Struthio camelus: one gene and its partner. The protein of the gene in region 1 interacts with the protein of each later gene in a pairwise test. Links are inferred from orthologs where the notes say so. Each region holds a gene or a part of one and is shown in the gene's direction. Other genes may lie near its edges. The genes, in order: GAPDH and PRDX1.

Region 1 (9,177 bases):
GCCTCAGCTCTAGGTTGACTGGATCTTTATGACTCAGCTCCTGGAGAAGCATCAGCATTTCAAGGTAAGGAGACAGAAAAAAAGCTTTTCAGTGCTCTTTGGTATGGGGGAGCAGGCTGACTGTGGGGCTCCCCATGTTGCCTGCAGAGGCTTTTAACTGTAAAGAGACTGGCACTAACTGAGCCCTATGGCACTAACTGAGCCCTATGACAGCAGTGATCAGAAGTTACAATCACGCCCCTTGCATTAAACGACAAGCAGGTATGTGGAGGGATTTCAGTATAAAATGCAATCAACTTCAACAAGTACTGTAACTGGTAGCTATCCACCATGTTCAGTGACCTGGTTCTGACACATTTCAGAGGGAGGGTGCACCCTATTAGTTTGGGATTTCCTCTCCTAAGCTCAGTACTGCTCCACTGCAGCCCCTCTTTCAGGGCCAAGAGCCCCTCTGCATATGTATGTATCAGGACACTAGCTAAGGGCTTCTTCACTTTGGTAAATCTTTTACTCTCACCCACTGCAGAAACACTGCTTATAGCTTTCAAGTCTTCCCAGCTCCCTCTTACCCAAATCCTACCCTGAGCCTCAATGCTTTGTGCTAACATTGCCTTGACCATGTGGTTCAAGAAGAAAAGCTACAGTAAATTATTTAGGATGTGAGCTAAAAAAAAAACCAAGACTGATTCTGTTCTGACTCATCGCGCAGAGGCTTTCTGAAGATGCCTTCGTCTGCTTCAGTAAACTCGCTACAGAAAGGGATGGAGCTGAACCGCACAAAGGCTCTTCAGCCTTAAGTCAGTGTCCATGCGGGGAACAGATATGGAACGGCTACTGCAGGCTGCTTCCCTGCGCAATACTGCCAGATACTGGGTCATTAGCGCCTCTGGGCCCAGCGCACCTCCTGACCTTTGCCTCTCAGCAGCCAAAGGCCGCCAGCAGTGATTGAGGGCTATAATCAGCACATCTCCACCTGCCCAGAAAGGCTAAAGACTCCCCAGTGGATGAGGAGCCCCCTTCTTCACACCTGCTCCTGCGACACTGCCATTCCTGCCCCTCTTTAGCACCAGGTATTTCGGGTAGATCCATTCACCCCCACCCCCCCCCCCCAGCCCTCTGGGAAAACAAAGGGCCAGAAAACAGTCTGAGCACATGGAAGAATAAACAGCAGCTCAGCATCAGCAAGAAGACCAAGGACTGAAGACTCAAATTACTTTCCAAGTACAGGGGGACCTGTCTGACAACAGCAAGGCAAGCAACTCGCACACAGAGGCCTAAACCAGCTTCCTACTTCGGACAGAGAAATCATTGCAGACCGTAGGAGTAGCTGGTCTAGCCCTTCCCTTGGGGATCCCCATGCCTGAATACGTCACAAACACAATGCCTCGTGTACAGACACCATTTAAGTCCTGCCTGCATCCTAGGGAAGATTTGGGGCAGCAGGACAGCAGGCTTTGGGCACATTGGGTTATCACCAGGAGAGAGAAATGAGACACAGGAGCACAGGCAATACCATTCTCACCCTTGCCTCCTCTCTGTTTATCCCACCTTCCCAGATGTTTCTTTCCCAGTTGCTGCCCCTGGACTCTGAATCCATGCTGGCTGAAGAGGACATGAAGGAAGGGTCCAGCTTTGGACCTCCGTTGCTCTCCTCCACCCTCCCTTTCCTCCCATCTGGGGCCAGAACTGCCCGACTCCCGCTCTGGCGCAAGACCCTGGCCAATCGCAAGTGGGCACTGGCTGGAGATTGGGCCTGGAAGGCCATGCCCAGGGGCTGCTTTGGACTGAAAATGGACCGGATTGGGACCTTCAGTGGTTTGGGGTGTTAGCCTTGGAGAAACTCTGAGGTGAGAGAGACAGCAGCGAGGGCAGCAGAGAAGCAAGGGGGGACTCCAGAACATAAACCATAGGGAGAACCAGGAACAGGGGGACCTGGGCAACAGGGAAGCAAGCTGAACCCAGGGGCTGATGGGGCACAGCGGGACACCGCCTGACTGCTGGTGGGCCAAAGTCAGAGAGCTTGGCTGCTACTACATGAGAGTAGTGACCTCTGGGCTACCAGCCCTCGGAGTCTGGGTGGTGAACGGGGAGCAGGTGGGTTGCACGCTGCCACGAGGCTCACAGGCATTGCTTTTGCACAGGCACAGGAGACTGAAGCGTCTGGAGAACCTGCTTGGGACAAAATGGGGATGAGCATGGCATGCCCACCGCTGAAGCCCTAAAACCCCTGCCCTAGGCTGCTGGCTGAAGGACCGCTGCAGCAGGGAAGTTATGAAGTGGTGCAAAGCGGGCTGAGCACAGGGGTTGTCCAGCTCTGCTACCGCCTGGAGCCCCAGGACCCCTCCCAGGCGTGTGCCGCCCCCCTCTCTGCTCGGCTAGCAGGTCCCGCTGCCCAGCTGGCAGGGGCTCACAGGCCTTGGCTGTTCTCTCTCCTGCCATTTGTGCTTAAGAACTGACTTGCTAATTAAAAAGAGCTGTATTGTTTGTTTGTCTCGTCCAGACTCTGCAGCATTTGCCCAAACCCCACAGCAGCACCACCTCCGCAGCAGCGACCTCGGCTGTTGTCAGGCCTCCGGTTTGTGGACAAGCGAGAGGCAGGCCAGGGACGATGCCTTTCCCCGCCGCCCTGGCACCCGCCGGCTGCCGGGAGGTGGCGGCAGAGCCCGAGACCTGGCGCAGCCCCCGGCCCGGTGGTGGCAGTGGTGGCGCAGCCCCCACGTGCTGCGGGGCCATTTTGGGTGCATGCTGCTGATCCCTGGGGGCTAGCAAACCGCAGGCCGAGGGAGCCATTTCTCAGCCCTGCGCCTCCAGCCTGCCAGTGCCGTGAGCGACCCCGTGGCTGTCCCCTTGGGGCCTAGCAGTTATATAACGGCCAGGCGGCTCCCATCACTCCGGCTAACCTCAGTGAGCCCTGAGTCTGAGATGCCTCTTCTGCCTCTCCTTCCTGCAAAGGAGAGCTGCAAAGGGCTGCAAAGACACAGCCTTACTGAAACCCTGCCGTTATGACTAGGCACTTTTCGCGCCCCCTGCCAAGCCCACGTGCACAGATTCAGCCTAATTCAGCAAGTAGGAGATGGCTGGAAGTGCAGCCGCCCGCTCTCCCAAGCCAAGCTACCCGTACCACACCCATCCTCTCCAGCAGCCAGGAGCTGAGCTCAGCCCCCGGCTGCCCCTGCAGGCCCTGCAGCCAGGGCCGCCAGGTGCCCGTCTGCCTTCCAGCACGGGCTCCAAGCAGCTAGGGTGGAGCCTTGAAATCCCGGTTGCCGGCCAGGCTCAGGGGCACGGGGCTGGGAGCTGCTGCGTTGGCTCATCCCACCTGCACTCTGTCCCCCTGCACAGAGTACTCGGCGGCACCCATGTTTGCTGAGCAAACAGTGGGCCTCCTATTTGGGCAGAAATTTAAGGCAGCCCCCAAAAGTTACCCTGACCCCTCTTCTGGCCCTTCCCAGGCTACATTTGCGATGCCTCGAATGAGGCACGGGATCCTTTGGGCTCCCTGCAACCTCCAGCTGCATCGCTGCAGCACATGAGCCATCCCACATGGCCTTTAAGAAAATGTCGTAACCTCAGCTGGGGCTAAACTTAGCTGCCTGCCCCTTGGCAGCACCGGGAATAGCAGCAGGATAAGGAGCGTTGGATTACGTCTGAGCTGGGTGACCCATCTCCAGACCCCCCCCCCCCCGGTATCTGCTTTGCTCCCCGAGCCCGCTCCGTCCTTCCCATCCTCAGGGATCCCACTCGGCTGACCCTAAAGCCCTGGCCAGCCGAGCTACAACGGGGGAAGGTTTCATCCCTCTGCCTTGCCCTATCCGGGCCCAGCTGCACATCTCCCGTATTCCCACGCGCTCCTCTCCCTGCATGCCTAAGCCGGGCGCGTGCATGCTCAGAGCTCCCTCCCCAGGGAACAGCCGCTTTGAGACATGCTCTAGGTCTCAGCGCAGAGCCGGCGGGATCCCGGCCTTGCCCCGGAGCAGCCGGCAGGCATGCAGGGCAGGGACGGCCATCATGCGAGGAGCACTCTCTCCTCACCGGCGCCCGGCCCAGGCCCTGGCCTGCCCCCAGCCAATGAACGCGCCCCGACAGCGTGGATGCGAGCCGGCAGCGCGGGGTGGTAGGCAGGATTTCCGCAGTCACGTCCCGCGAGTAGCAGCCTCCCCGGTTCCTCATTAACATGGTGCTCACGCCGCTCGGCGCAGCATGTCGAGGCCTTGGCCGGCGGCCGGGGGGAGGCTGGGTCAGCAGGCGCGCTCACAGCGCGCCTGGCTAGCGCAGCGTGGGGCAGCTCGGGGCCCTGGCAAGAGCGGGGGCAAAACAGCAGCCCCCCCCCCCCGAGAGCAGCAGGCCAAGGGCAGCACGGCCCCGCTTCCCCCCAGCGACATGTGGGGAAGAGGGGGGCTGGGCTGGGCAACCTGCTGCGCCCTCGGGATGGCCCCGGCAACAGTGCAGCCCTTCCCGCCCCCACCGGGGCCGGGGGGGCCAAAGGGGTGCAGAGAGCGGCGCACGCTGTGGCCTCCCCCCTTGTTGCCGGGCCGCCAAGGAAAGCGGCGCCCACCATGTCGCGCGGCGGCTGGGCAAGGCCCAGCAAGGCACGCGTGGCCGCACACGCGCCTGGCAGAAGCAGCCCCCGGCTAGCGAGAGGCCGGAGCCCGACACCAGGCTCCTTCCTAACCTCCCCGAACGGGGGGCTGCGGCCGCGTGGCCTCCCTTCGCAAGCCGCGGGGCTCGGGCAGGCGGCAGCCGGAGGGGCCGCGCGCGCCCTGCCAGGGGGGTGCCGGGCCCCCCAGCTCAGGTGTGCGGCGCTGAGCGCAACCCACGCACCCCGACAGCCCCGCTTCCCCCTGGGGCCAGCCATGCCCTGGCCTCCCTCCCCCCGCCCCAACATCGCACAGCGCAGAGGCCCCTCAGCGCTGGCAAGGGGCAGAGCACTGCGGTCCCCCCCCACCCCACTGCAATCCTCCCTCCCCCGAGGAGCGCTGCACCCCCCCAGCGCAGCGCAGCCCCGGGCCCCGAGGGGGCGGCGGGGGCCCCTCTGGGGGGACCTTTGCCCGCGGCCCGGTGGGGGGGGAGGGGGGCGCCGCCGCTGCCGCAGCCCCCCAGCGCACGTAGCCCGGCCCGGCCCCCGCACTCCCATTCGGCGCCGGCCCGACGGGGCGGGACCCGCCATTTCCCCTCCGCCGCTATAAAAAGCGGCGGCGCGGCGCGGCGCCACCTTCTCACTGTCCGTCAGGGCCGGGTCGGAGGCGGCAGGTAAGGGGGCTGGGGGATGGGAGGGGGGGAGACGGAAAGGCGGCGGGCGGGCGGGCAGTCCTGTTTCTGGGTGGGGGGGGGGCTGCGCTGCCGTGGGGCGGGAGCAGGGAAGCTTTGGGGGGGGGGGCGCATGGCGGCTGGGCGCCCCCGGGCACAAAGGCGGCAAGATGGCGGGGGGGGGGGGGGGAAGATTCCCTTCCCCCGGGGCGGATCGCCCCGCTCTGCGCGCCTCTCAGCGCCGCTCTCTCCCCGCAGGCACCAACATCCCTGAGAGGCGAGATGGTGAAAGTCGGAATCAACGGGTGAGTGTGCGGGGTTGGGGGGGGAGGGGAGAGGAGCGGGCGGGTGGGCGGGCGCGGGGGAGGCGCAAGGTGGCGCCAAGGACGCGCGGATGAGCCGTTGCGCGCCGCGCCGCGGGGCAACTCGTCCCCCCTGGGGTAGCGGCCCCGGCGAGGGCGGGGCACTGAGTCACTTCCCCCTTTTCCCCCCCGGCCGAGTCGGGCTGAGTCACCCTGCGCGGCGAGCGCCCGCGGCCCGGCTCGCCTTGCCTTGTCCTGCCCGGCCCTGCCGGGTGCCACCGCTCGGGGCCGGGCTGGTGACCCCCGTCGGAAGGATGCCAGGGAGATCGTGTGTCGCAGGAGCCCCGGGGGCCCTGGGGAATGTGACCTTCTCCCACCGTGCTGTGAGGAGTAACCGGATCCTGCAGTAAATTTAGCGCCTGACCTTTCCTGCGCGGCTGCCCCAAGCAGGGGTCGCTCTTAATCTTCAATTGGGGCTCCTTGGCCTTTGAACGCAGCTGATGGGCTCCCTTCTGCCCCTCTGGGCAGGGAGCAGCCGATGTCCCAGAGGGAAAGCCATGGACTGTTATGCCCTGCCTTGCCCAGCCAGCCAGGCTCCTTGCTCCTCCTACTTATCTGTGCATCTCTCTCCCCAGATTTGGCCGCATTGGCCGCCTGGTCACCAGGGCTGCCATCCTCTCTGGCAAAGTTCAAGTGGTGGCCATCAACGATCCCTTCATTGATCTGAACTACATGGTGAGTTGCCTCGTGGTGTCTCCTCCAGGCCTTCTATGCAGTTTGCCTCTTGCAGTGGGGCAGTGGACTCCCCTAGCTCTGTTCTGGCAGCTCCCCATGGATGTCAGGTGTGGGGCTGTGGGTGGAATGAGAGAGACAAAGCGTAGGGTTGTGGGCCCAGCAGATTTGGTGGAGCCGAGTACAGAGCAGCAGTTGGATCAGCTCACTGGAGAACTCTGGGATCTGTGATTGCAAGAGCAAGGGATGGGGGGTTGCAGCTAGGGTGCCTGACCTCTTCCCCCCCCCCCCCCCGCCCCCTTCTCTCTCCTTGCTAGGTTTACATGTTCAAATATGACTCTACTCATGGTCACTTCCGGGGCACTGTCAAGGCTGAGAATGGGAAACTTGTGATTAATGGGAACCCCATCACCATCTTCCAGGAGTAAGTATCTCTTTCTCCCTCTCATCCCTTGGAAGGGTGAAAACAGATCTCTCACAGAGCAACTCTTATGATTTTGTCCCTCCTCAGGCGTGACCCCAGCAACATCAAGTGGGGAGAAGCTGGTGCTGAATACGTTGTGGAGTCCACTGGTGTCTTCACCACTACAGAGAAGGCTAGCGTGAGTAGGCCAGTGGCATGTGGGAGAAAGGACGCTTGCTGCTCCTACCTGTGGGGCACATCACCATGTACAGAGTTCAAGATGTGGAGGAGATGGCTGGGAGGGAGAAGAGGGTGTCTGAGGAAGTATCTTGCTCTCCAAGCTGTTGGGGTATTCTGGGTTAACTGATCTCCTTCTCTTCTCACAGGCTCACCTGAAGGGTGGCGCTAAGCGTGTTATCATCTCTGCCCCCTCAGCTGATGCTCCCATGTTTGTGATGGGTGTCAATCATGACAAGTATGACAAGTCGCTGAAAATTGTCAGGTAAGGAGAGAAGAGGATGCTCTCTGGCCTGGAACTTTCACCAGCTGCATGGGGTCTCATCTTTCATGGGTAGGTATACTGCCTCTGGTTGATGTGTGTCTTTCTCTTTTCCTCAGCAATGCCTCTTGCACCACCAACTGCTTGGCGCCCTTGGCCAAGGTCATCCATGACAACTTTGGCATCGTGGAGGGTCTTATGGTAGGTCTAAAGCCTGCTGCTTAGTGTGTCCTATCCCCACGTTTCTTCATGTGAGAAGAGAAGTAACTGTCCACGGGCTCTGTGTTTGTGAGGGGTGTAAACTCACACAGTAAGAGGGCTAGCCTCCCTGTGTTCCTTGGGATGGGGAGTTAAGCATTCAGGATGTTTTTTGAAAGTTATTGGCTGTGTTCTTATTCCTGTGCTCTCTTCCCCAAGACCACTGTCCATGCCATCACAGCCACACAGAAGACAGTGGATGGCCCCTCTGGGAAGCAGTGGAGGGATGGCAGAGGTGCTGCCCAGAACATTATCCCAGCATCCACTGGGGCTGCTAAGGCTGTAGGAAAGGTCATCCCTGAGCTCAATGGGTGAGTGTCAGCCCTTCTCAGGTGTCGGAAGGAGGTAGACAGTGCCTGGCTGGCTCTGGCCCATTCCTAGCGGAATAGAAGGCTGGCAGAGGGGTGCTGACTGCTGTTCTGACTCTTACCTCTCTGACAGGAAACTTACTGGAATGGCTTTCCGTGTGCCAACCCCAAATGTCTCTGTTGTGGACCTGACCTGCCGTCTGGAAAAACCAGTGAGTGTTGTGGGGAAGGCCTTAACCTCCAAACCTGCTCCTGCTTCCTCCAAATTCCTCTTATCTAGAATTGCCCCCTCTACATCTGTGTCTTCCTCCCACACTCTTCCCACTCAGCCCTGGTGATGACCAGGAATACTTGGTCTTGGCAAGAATAGCACCTGCTGTGCTGCTCCCAGTATCTGGGCTGTAGCTGTGTCATTCCTCTCTACCCCCTTCCCTGGCCCAGCTGACAATTTTGTGTGAATTGGGATCTGACCCTCTTAATGTTGTCTCTATTCTCAGGCCAAGTATGATGACATTAAGAGGGTAGTGAAGGCTGCTGCTGATGGGCCCTTGAAGGGCATCCTGGCATACACAGAGGACCAGGTAAACAGCTTTCAGTGTCTCAGCCTGTGGTTGGTAGCACTCTCGTCTTCCTGCTGGGAGCTGCCTTGCTGGGATTCTGCTTATGGCACTCCTGGGTCAGGCTGCCTCCATCTGTGGGGTGGAGGACTGAGTTAGAATCTCCTCTCTTCCAGGTTGTCTCCTGTGACTTCAATGGTGACAGCCATTCCTCCACCTTTGATGCAGGTGCTGGCATTGCACTGAATGATCACTTCGTGAAGTTGGTTTCCTGGTATGCACAGCCTGGGGGGTGTGGAAGGGAGCACTTGAGCTCTTGGTGGGAGGGTGGGAGCTGGCAGTTGTCCCAGGTTTTTTGTTCTGTTCACCACCACCAGCTGGCATTGTATACTGATAAATCTACTGCTGCTGAGTGGGGTGGCTCCAACACCTAAAAGTCTTAGGAGTGATGTTGCTTCATATCTGACAACTGCAGCCTTTTCCTTCCCTTACGGGAGAGTGGATGGGGTGCTGCTTGTTTTCTGTATCGGGAAATAGCCCTTCTGCCTCCCTTTTCTGAGCCGCGGTAGAGGAGCAGTACTCTTATATAGGATGGTGTGATGCAAGAAACAGTCCAGAAAGCTCAGCTCTTGTGTTTCTGCCTCCAGGTATGACAATGAGTATGGATACAGCAACCGTGTTGTGGACTTGATGGTCCACATGGCTTCCAAGGAGTGAGCCAAACACACGAGACACCCCCCCCCTGCTGCCTAGGGAAGCAGGACTCTCCTTTGCTAGAGACCCTGCCCTTTTCACCACCACTTAGCTCTGCAGCCTGCAGTGAGAGGCCAGTTCTGTTCCCTTCTGCCTCCCCCACTTCTCCAACTTGCCCCTG
Region 2 (10,116 bases), on another chromosome or scaffold:
AATCCCAGAATAACTTTCTGTCTTCCTGCTCTTCCCTGTCTTCCTACTCGATCAGAAAGGGATACTATTTTTTTTAAAGATGAAAGATTGTCTGTTCCCATATCACTGAAACCATGTACGTGTACTGAACCTTTTTTCTGCAGAAAATTAGAGAGTAAGAGCTCAACTCTTGCATGGAACGTTTCGAGTACAGACAACGTAACAGCTATTATTGCCATTGTAGAAAGGGTCATACACTGATTTAGCACAAATTCACAGAGCAGCAGCATTCTTTTCTTGCTAAAGGGAGAATGGCAAAAAAGGATGCAAAGCAAATAGCCGTTTTGAGCCTGGGCTTCTCTCTCACGCTTAATACTATGATAGCCAAGCGTTTCCCATGTGAAATTCAATAGAAGATCCTACTGGAACCTTTGTTCGGTTTTCAATTGCTGGTGTTATAGCTGTTGCACCCAGCAATCTGCTTACAGTGGAAAAGCTTTTTAATCAAAAAGGAAGGTTTTGCAGTGTATTCCAACATCCTCACAGTACATCTTGTGAAATTATTAAAAAGAAACCACATTCAGGATGTGTTCCAGAGCCAGCTAGCCTATTTCAGCAGAAGCTGAGGAAGTTGTTTCCCAAGTTCAGCAATGCCCAAACTAGTTTTGTATTTTCAAACAGATAACATTCACAAGAGCGGAAGCATGCAACGCTGGTTTTCAGATCATCTATGTAGGAGGAATGTATGTCTTCCAAGTAAAGCATTCACACAGCACACTACCCCAAAATAGCTCTGCCTTTTCCACAACATTGTGATCACCTTCCTCATACAGGCAGTCCTTACTGACAGATTTGGTAACACAGAAAGTTTGTATTTTTAATTTCACGCTTAGCTTCTCAGGGCATATTTTGGTAGATTTACGCTACATAGACACGTAACAGCACGCTTGTTTTACAAAGAGACAGAGTAGTTCAACATGAATTAGTGGTTTGGGATCTGCACTGAGATGCATTAAGTCAATATGTTGGTGTTGAAGGCAGTCACTGTTAATTAGATTGTGGGTGCACATGGGTTATTTGAGGTAAGAAGTCAGAGAAGCAGAACGCGACACTGAACATGTGAACAACATTCCCTGAATCAGCGTAGCTGTTTTGCAGGCAGTGCACACAAGTGGACACTCATATTTTTACCTGGATGTAACCACCTAAATAAAAGCATCTCCTCAAATCATGCAATGCAACTAGAAACTTTTTGATTCACCTTGGCCCATAACACAAATAACATACAAACTACCACACTTCACACAAACATCTTACACAACCATCCTAAACGTAGCACTTCAGCCCAGAAGACAAGGTACATGTGTTTAATCAGTAACTGGCATCAGCACATTTGCAAAGAATCATTTCACTTCATGTAACAGTGTTGTACATTAACATCGCAGAGATAGCAGAAGTAGAGACTCTGGAAGAATGGAAAAGTTCCAGAACTAGACACTCTAGAAGAACAATTAATACTTTCCACTCAGACTCTTCTCCTAACAAGAGGATGTAAGGAAACTACAGTGTCCACTCATCATCACTACTTGGATCAGTAAGAAGTGGGAAGCTTTTTTTTTTTTGGTAACACTAAGAACAAAAATAAATATAAAAGCACACCAATTCTGAACAAGTAAAATGTGGGTTTAGATTAACAACACTTGCCTCTCCTGTTCCCACACTCATCTAGAGGAGTAAAGCCCAGAGTGATTCAAAAGCCACGTAGGTAGCCTGACTGGGAGTAGTTATTAATAACCAGAAAAGTGTAACCTACATTAGTTTATCAGCCTATAGATAAAGCTCATTTTTAATCCAAAGTAACGAGTCTTCCACCTTCAAAAAAAAAAAAACAAACCAAAACAAAACAAAAGTGGAAGAAAACACAGAAGCCCCGGTACGCGATCGCCTTTGCCCGGCAGTTCGGGTACCAGCTCCCCACGCCTGGGCGCCTCCTCATCCCTCCCCGAGCTCCGGCGGCGCCCGCAGCAGGGCGGCGCAGACGGACACGGACACGGGGCGCCGCGGCGGCCCTGCGCGCCCGCAGCCGCACTCACCCGCCGCTCGCTCGGTCCCTCGCTCCCTCGCACCGCTGCCGCCCGCCCGCCCGTGCCGGCACCGCCGCCGCCGCTGCCCGCCGCTTCCGTTTCCGGCCGCGACCTGCCAGGCGGCAGCCGGGCCAGCCCCCGCCGCCCTGCGCGGGGAGCAGCGAGCAGGCGCGGCTGTTCGGCCTTCCGCGCTGCTTTGCAAACCGTCTCCCCGGCCCGCCCTCGGCAACGTGCGCTTTTCGTGGCGGCGGGGAAGGGGAGGTTGCTTGTACTGTGCAAAGCATGTCACCCAGCCTAAAAAACGCAAGATAGTTCCTTTCAAGAAAAGGACCCCCCTCCCCCAAATCGGGCAATGAGTGTCGCTGCTAGGAAGGGAGGAGTTTGCCTCTGCCGTGGCAAGGGGCTCTTGCAGGCCTCCCCTGCTGGCATGTGTTTTGAAGCCGGCTGCCGTGTCCCGCTGCGAGGCCTCGCGGGCCTGGCTGCCAGCCTGCCATGCCATCGGTGCCAGCCTCCTCTCGGTTAATTCTCCAGCTTTGCTCTGTTTATTTTTCCTCTGCTGTCTGTTCGGTTCCCAGCAGGAAAGTCAAACTGCTCAGACTCTCCCCTTCACAGCACGTTGAGTAATGCATCTCATAGTCTGCAGCACACAAAGGGAAATTGCAAACAAAACATAACCATCAGGATTAGGTACCTTAGCTGGTAGGAAGACAGAATTTTTCCTCTGTTTTAATGTGCAATCCTAAATATTAGGAATCCAGGGAATGTGCAAGGCTGGTAAAATTCATTTTGCTTTAGCTTTTTTGCTAAAAGGTGCAACAAAGAGAAAGAAGTGGTAGTTCCTGAGGGGGCATGGGCACCTTTTAATGCAGGTGCACAAGAGTGCATTTCCTTATTTGTGCAAGAAGGTTGAGAGTAAGGTTTAACTACATTAAAAACATGACTGAATTTAATTTAGAATCATTAGTCCTGAGTACGTACAGTCTTGCTAAGTCAAAGACACAACTTCTATTGGCTTGAACAGGAGCAGAATTTGGCCTGTAACTGAGAGAAGAGCATCCCTAGGTGTACTGCACTCTGTACTTAACCACAACTAAAGACAATTACAACCAGTTTTGAGTTTTACTCCAAGCTTCCATTCTTATAAGTAATATATAAACTTTGAGAATCTGAAAAGTACAGTAAGATCCTATCAGAAATACAAGCAAAATACATATCTAACAGAGCTTTGAAGAGGATGTTATTTCCTTTCGGAAAGATCACTCTGCTGCAGATTCTTTTATTGTTGTTCTGACCTAAACCATCCCAGAGACTTAAAGGAACAAAGGTTAATTATGCTCTTGGGCAGTCACATGACCAGATTTTTCTGTGGTGCAGCCTGTTTAGGCAAAATGCAGGAAAACGGAAAGAGAGTGCAAGGAAAATGCAACAAAAAGTAACATGGCGGGAAATACAAAACTGGGAAGGAGGAGAGAATAAAGGGGAGGGAGAGCGCTGGGTTTGGTTTGCTTTTAGGAAGACACTGCCAATCACAGATCATTTGAAAATAACAGTCTTAACACTGTGGAAGATGCTTGAATTATATGAATGCTAAGTAATAAAACTTTAACAAACCTCAGCCTCCAATAATATAGAGAGAGTAAAAGAGAGAAGGGAAAGAAGATAAAATCCTTTTGTCGTCAAAAGGAAGTGATCATCCAAGCATACAGTCATAAAAATTATTTAAAAACAGGTATGTAGGGAAGGGAAAGGTGACATGGACATTTTAACCTAGAAACACAGTCTTCATTTGAACTAAAGAAGAAAAAGCAAATATGTGCCCTATATATTTAATTATGTATAATCGTTTTCATGAAATCCAGTGTGCACCAACTGCTTAGGCATATATGCCCAGGGGCTTGAGAATATTTCAGTCATTAGACTTTTTTGCCTATATTATATTCAACTGTCCACAAAAGGTCAGGATTTTTCTCTTACTACGCCCCTGAGGGTACTGCACATATACAATAAATTCATTATGTTCAGGATTCAGGGGGCTTTCTGCATGTGCAGACTGCCTGATGTTTCTGAGGTTAACCTGTTGCCGGGGATCATGGCCTGAGTTGATAGGTAGGTATATACATTCCTCAATTTATAGACCTCAGTTGTCCTAACATTGACTGAGGCACATTAAGAAAGTTTCATTTCTCTTCTATAAAAGATTAAGTGTGTTGTAACAATAGAGATCCCAGTAGATAACATCTTTGCATTAAGGCGAATGCATATATTTTTTAATATACATATACAGGTTATGTTGCTTTTTACATATCAAAGAGTAATTTCATCCAGTATTAAAACCAGTCATCTCCTGGGTGAATCACCACAGGAGGTATGGTCACTGAGCAACACTACACAGTAGTGTAGATTAGATTGTTTAACATTCAAAATTTGTTAATCCTTTGTGGTTTTCTCCACAGTACAATTCGTAATCATGTTTTAACAGGTATAAGGAACATGACTTTGTGAAATAGACAAGGAGTAAAAGTCAGTTGGTAAACAAGTTTATCACTTCTGACTACAGCAAGCCATTTTGTTGTTGATATGCCCTTTATAGCCTTTAACACTACCTGTTTAATAAAACTTAAATATTAACATTCAAATTTTGTACCTCAGTCAAAAATACAAGGTTTCAGTTCAGTCTTAGATCCAAACTCAATGCGTGTGGGAATTCACTCAGGCTAAATGTCTCAGAGTAGATTTGCTCTGGGAAGGATACAAGGCTGCCTTGAAGTGAATAAATGCCTCTTCCGAGAGTTTTCATCCTGCACCCCGAAGCTCTGAGACCATGCTTAATTTAATTTTTGGCTTTATTCCTGACTTACATGGCTTGCACCAGGCTTCCCACTGATGGAATCAATGAAAGCCTTAAGAATTAGTATCAGGTTGAAGAGGCAGTTTATAATAGAAAGGGAGGTGAAACCTCCCCCTCTGCAATAATTTCTGAGCGTGTACATTGTTTGGCTAATAGAAAGTCTGATTTTATTGATATTAAAGTCAATGGCAAAACTCCCATCCACCTAAATGGCACACTAGTCATATCCATCTGGATATTCAAAATCGAGTGCGTCCTCTGTCTCTTTTTTTGGCTACTGACTTTTAACTAATTATACCTTGTTCATATTAAGGCATTAAAAAAAAAAAAAAGCTTCTTCTTGCAAAGAGCCATTCAAACCACCTTCCCACTAACTGTTTATGACTATTGCACTGGATGTTTTCGTGCCACCTCCCGGGACGCTATCCGTACAAACAGCTCCATTTATTCAAATTCTCTTGCCGCTTGTAACAGCCAGGGCAGCATCTCCGTTGCGATAAGCGGCCGGCAGCTCGCTATCGAGCAAGGCGCTCGCCCGAATGTGCCAAGTCATGCTGCCCTTGCACGGGGCGGCCCGGGCGGGCGGCGGCCGGGCCCCCCGCGCCGCGCCGTGTCCTCGCGAGAGCGGGGCGGCTATAAAGGCGGCGGCGCGGCGGGGGCTGCGGCAGCGCGGAGCTTCCTGCAGGCGTGTGGAGGAGGGAGCTGCGAGCCGCTCGCCCTTTTGTGTAAGCGCCCGGGTGGGGGGGGGGGGGGGGAGGGTGCGCACCTGCCGCGGGGCAACGGGTGCGGTATGCTGGATTGTTCGGCGAGTTATATTTTTTTGTTTGTTCCCCCCCCCCGGATTTTGCTTTCCGCTCTGCGCGGTTGGGGTCGCAAAAGAGGGGCGCGGAGGCGGTGCAGGGTGAGCTCTCGCTCTCTGCCGCCTTTCCCCCCCGAGGAGGGGTCCGACCTTCTCCCGCTGTGGTTTTTTCTCTCGGTCTCTCTCGTTTTTGTGGGGGTGGGGAGAGAGAAGGGGAGGTTGTTAACCCTTTCTTAGGCGCTCGCCGTTATCTGCTTTCTCCCCGCTGCTTGCTGGCGAGGGCTCGCAGGGTGATGCGCGCAGCCGGGCTGGGGCGCGCCCGCGGGGAGCGGCTCCGGCAGCAGCGCGGAGCGGTGCAGCCCGCGGGCGGCCTTGCAGCCCACCCGCCGCCCTGGTGTCCTGAAAGCTTCGCATAACAGTGGTGTGATCCACAAGCACGTAGGCCTCTGATCTTGAAGCTTAAAGAAGGGGCTGTGTGGCTGGGTTGAAGGAGTTTGCTGTGTGGGCGTGCAGGGGGCTGCAGTCCTTTGTCACAGAGCAATTTAGTGACCTTTGTGCCGGTGACTGCTTAGGGTTTCCTTCTGAACTTTTTCAGCAAAATAAGTTTAGTGGTCTGTGTATACCTGGCTGTGGTATATCTGAACCGAGGAGGTCTGTGACAATATCACTCTTAATTTCTGACCGCAGCTCAGTGACTTAACCACACTTTTGTGGCAATCTGAAGGTAGTGAAGGGGAAGGCTGGATGGTGTGTTTTGAAGTGTCCTTCTGCTATGGTTCAAATACTGTAAAGCAATGAATTTCTGGTTAGAGTTCTGGACTAGTTTATTATAACTGCCATTTGGAGATAATTGAGGCTGTGTGCAGTTATGACTGCTAAAAGATATTCTGACCTGATTAAACTGTACTTGATTTGTAGTGTTTATATCCTTTTTCTCTAGGAGGAAAGGAAATAGAGTACTGAATCTGTGTCCTGTTCCCCCGTGGGTTAGGAAACGCTGTGGTTAAGTCCAAGCAGAACATGTGAGAACACGTACTAACCCTGCATAGAAAAGCAGAGATGTTGGCAGGTTGCAGCGGGTGCTCCAAAGAAAGCAGATGGCTCTCTTGCAGTACGGCGCAGCTATGTCTCCTAAGCTGACACTGAACACCTTACTGTGTTATATGAAAGGGGGATAACATCTTGTAGCTTAGAGAGGGGCAGTATCAAAGAGCAAGTTTGACAGCTTTTGTTATTGGACATTGAATCCCTAGTAAACCATTCCAGGGGACTTGCTGATGGGACAGATAGAGGAGGACTAGCATACTACTGAGCAAGTGGATGACCTTGAGCTTGAGTAATAGGAAAAAATGGAATTTGGTGATATATACAATGCAGGGTCATGCACTCCAGACTAAACAGCTATTGCTTATAAGATAAAACTCACTAGTTGGAGGCATCTCAAAGAAAATACTGTGCAATGACTGTCTATCCCCCCTGACCCTCCAGAACTGTAGTCCTAGAATTGCATCTGCATTCATGGTTACATTAGATGTACAGCAGAAGTATTAATATCTGTCTACTAGACCACCTTTTCAGTAGGATCCCACAAACATGCTGTAGTATGGTTTCGGTGCCCTTGATTCATCAGACTTGCTCAGTGTGCTGCAGTTGAACTGCCTGGATGAACAAGGGGGTGAAGAGCTTGTTGCAGGAGGGGGTTAAAAGGGTGAAGGCTGAGAGATAGCTGATTACTATATACTGTGAGGATATGCAAGAAAACCTTTCAAAGATAAAAACAGTGCTAGTAAAAAGGCTAAACTGGGCAGTTTAAACTGGAGTTGAAAACTAAAGGCTTATGACTTCTGGACTAGTCCTTTAGGAGGAATGTGGCTGCCAAAGGAGAAGGAGCCAAGAAATGAGGTGTGCTGGAGCTGCTTAAAAACAGACTTTGTGCCTTGCCAGCAAGACCTAGAAGGATCCTTGAAATCTCTACTTTCACTTGCAACGTGAGACTCGTATTAACCTTTCAGAGGCTAGTGTCTCCAAGTCAACTAGATGTTTATAACCACTAACTAGGTGAATTAACTGCACAACGTTTCTGTGAGCTGAAGAAGTAAGGGTCACAAGTGTTATCTCTGAAAGATTACACTTCTGAAGTAACTGGAATTCTAAGGTGATAGATACACAAGTACTGTATTCCCAGACTGACAGAGCAAAAGAAACACTGTACAAGACCTGGTACAATGTGTGGCAATAGCATTTAAGGCAGGCAACTTGAAGTACAGTTTTTGTCCTTATGCCCCCCTCTTTAGTGGGAGACTTGAAATAAACAGGGGGAAAAAAAGAAAACACCTAAACCCTGGCCTTACTAGTTTAAGACTTGGTACAACTTTAATTGTCAACTGTCAACATAAAACGTTATTCCCAAGTGTCCTGTGAGTCTTCCAGTTGCAAATAAAATTTATTTTTTTTAAAGGCTGCAGTGTAGTTATAGGGTATTGTTCTTGGGAGGTTAACAAATGTTCTTTTGTTCCGGAATCAATAGGAAGATAAAATTCAAGGTCTCAACTTCCCTTGTAAACCTGAACAAGGGTCTCCTCACTTAAGTCTAATTTTTTGAATTTAACTTGTTCAAAGTGAAACTGGAAGTGTTATCGAATGCTCTAGAACTCTAGTTCTTTAGCAGACTCTGAGCTGTTATCTGGTCAGAGATAATTACTGTTACTTGCTTAGGAGAGTAATGATCTATAAATCTTGTATAGTTAGCAATTTAGTTAATAGCTTGGTCTGGATACCTACATATTTATCTGACTGCATTGCTTCTTGAGATTAAAAACACGTTGCTTTGACTGGACTACCCAAGAAACTAATCTTGCTCTTGGGCCCTGCGTTGCAAGACCAACTGCTGATACACTGTCCCTGTTGATACTTGTTCTAAATTGATAAGATGCTTTGACTATTTGCTTTTAGGCACAAACATAGCGCTATCTTAACTGTGCCAGTTACAACTCTGTTCTAGACCAAATCAAGATGTCTTCAGGAAAGGCATTCATTGGAAAACCAGCCCCTGACTTTACTGCCACGGCTGTAATGCCAGATGGACAATTCAAAGACATCAAACTCTCTGATTATAAAGGTAAGCTGATCTGCTTCTCTAATTACACAAATACACTATCTTGCGTTTGAAGGTGGGGAGGGCGTCTTAAGTAAGACAGCTTTAATTCCGTTCCAAAGTAATGGTGAACACTGGTGGTAGACTGAAGTATGTAATAACTTGTGCAGTGATTCTGTTGAGTGATGGCTGGAGAAAGCTTAGGAAGCTGTAGGGAGGCTGTTAACAGCATGGCCAAATATCCCAACTATAATTCCTGCTAATCAACATAAAATTCCCTTAAACCGTAATGCTGCATCAGGCTTATCTGGCTTTTTTGTAATATGATTAAGAAGATGCACTATCTCCAGTGTTGTGTGGAATAACAATATCTTGTCTCTTATGGGTTTTCTGGCAGTGGGAAGTGTGCCCTTTCAGCTAACCAATCATATTCCTTTCTCTAGAGTACGACAAAAATGTCTGCCTTGCAGAAAAAGCTCATTTAAATACAAGTGAAAGGCTTAAGTAATCAAGTGCTGATGCAGATAAATGTAGAAAGAGGCACCTCTAGCTGAAGGTTCCTTGCTCTCAGGTGGTGTGAAGGCAGTTATTAGGTGTAGACTAGTCACCTGAACAGTTGAAATGTCTCTTGGCCTCTGTCCTTTCAGGCACATGGCATCCTGCATTCTGTAAGTAATCAACTGCAGGGTCTCCTGGTGTAGGTACTAGGTGTACTCTGAGCAGGCCTGGGGGATTAGACCCCTGAGATGGATGTTCCCTTGTTAAATGTTAACATCCAGTTCAGCAGACCTCACTTGAGTTTTATATTATCCTTTAGCTGTAGGATAGCCTTGGACAGAGTTGCAAGTGGTATTTGGCTGAAATGAAAATCCCCTATGTGCTTTGTAGGGCTTGCTACCTATACAGCAAGCTTCACACGGGCACCTGCAGTTCACCCTTTAATCATTAAAGGTATTGTTGTATCTAGCTCCTTCTCCTCAGTGGCTATCGAATATTTATGCTAGTCAATATGACAACTGTTAAAGCCTAAGGTAAAAAGATGAACTGGTGACACTACTTCCTTTTTTTAGGAAAATATGTTGTGTTCTTCTTCTACCCTCTGGACTTCACTTTTGTTTGTCCAACTGAAATTATTGCATACAGTGACAGAGCTGATGAATTCAAGAAAATTAACTGTGAAATAATTGGAGCTTCTGTTGACTCTCACTTTTGCCATCTTGCCTGGTAAGAATCAGCTTTTTAACCAAGTATAATGTTCTGACAGGCTCAGTTCTTACTAGAACTGAATCCTGAGCATATTAAAACTCTAACA

What was found.
Region 2: the proteins of GAPDH (region 1) and PRDX1 interact in a two-hybrid assay, tested with the Homo sapiens proteins (2 studies listed by BioGRID and IntAct, with this or other methods). The link is inferred for Struthio camelus from reciprocal best matches to the Homo sapiens genes GAPDH and PRDX1.

What each region holds. Positions count from the first base shown.
Region 1 is NC_090942.1:90,955,770-90,964,946, reverse strand, and holds the start of GAPDH (glyceraldehyde-3-phosphate dehydrogenase), read left to right. Parts: upstream 1-5,057; 5' UTR 5,058-5,247; intron 5,248-5,502; 5' UTR 5,503-5,526; coding exon 5,527-5,549; intron 5,550-6,181; coding exon 6,182-6,281; intron 6,282-6,595; coding exon 6,596-6,702; intron 6,703-6,789; coding exon 6,790-6,880; intron 6,881-7,067; coding exon 7,068-7,183; intron 7,184-7,299; coding exon 7,300-7,381; intron 7,382-7,597; coding exon 7,598-7,749; intron 7,750-7,879; coding exon 7,880-7,958; intron 7,959-8,243; coding exon 8,244-8,327; intron 8,328-8,479; coding exon 8,480-8,577; intron 8,578-8,950; coding exon 8,951-9,020; 3' UTR 9,021-9,177. UniProt on the Homo sapiens protein: Has both glyceraldehyde-3-phosphate dehydrogenase and nitrosylase activities, thereby playing a role in glycolysis and nuclear functions, respectively.
Region 2 is NC_090949.1:27,416,481-27,426,596, reverse strand, and holds the start of PRDX1 (peroxiredoxin-1), read left to right. Parts: upstream 1-5,499; 5' UTR 5,500-5,636; intron 5,637-8,662; exon of another isoform or gene 8,663-8,711; 5' UTR 8,712-8,722; coding exon 8,723-8,828; intron 8,829-9,874; coding exon 9,875-10,028; intron 10,029-10,116. UniProt on the Homo sapiens protein: Thiol-specific peroxidase that catalyzes the reduction of hydrogen peroxide and organic hydroperoxides to water and alcohols, respectively.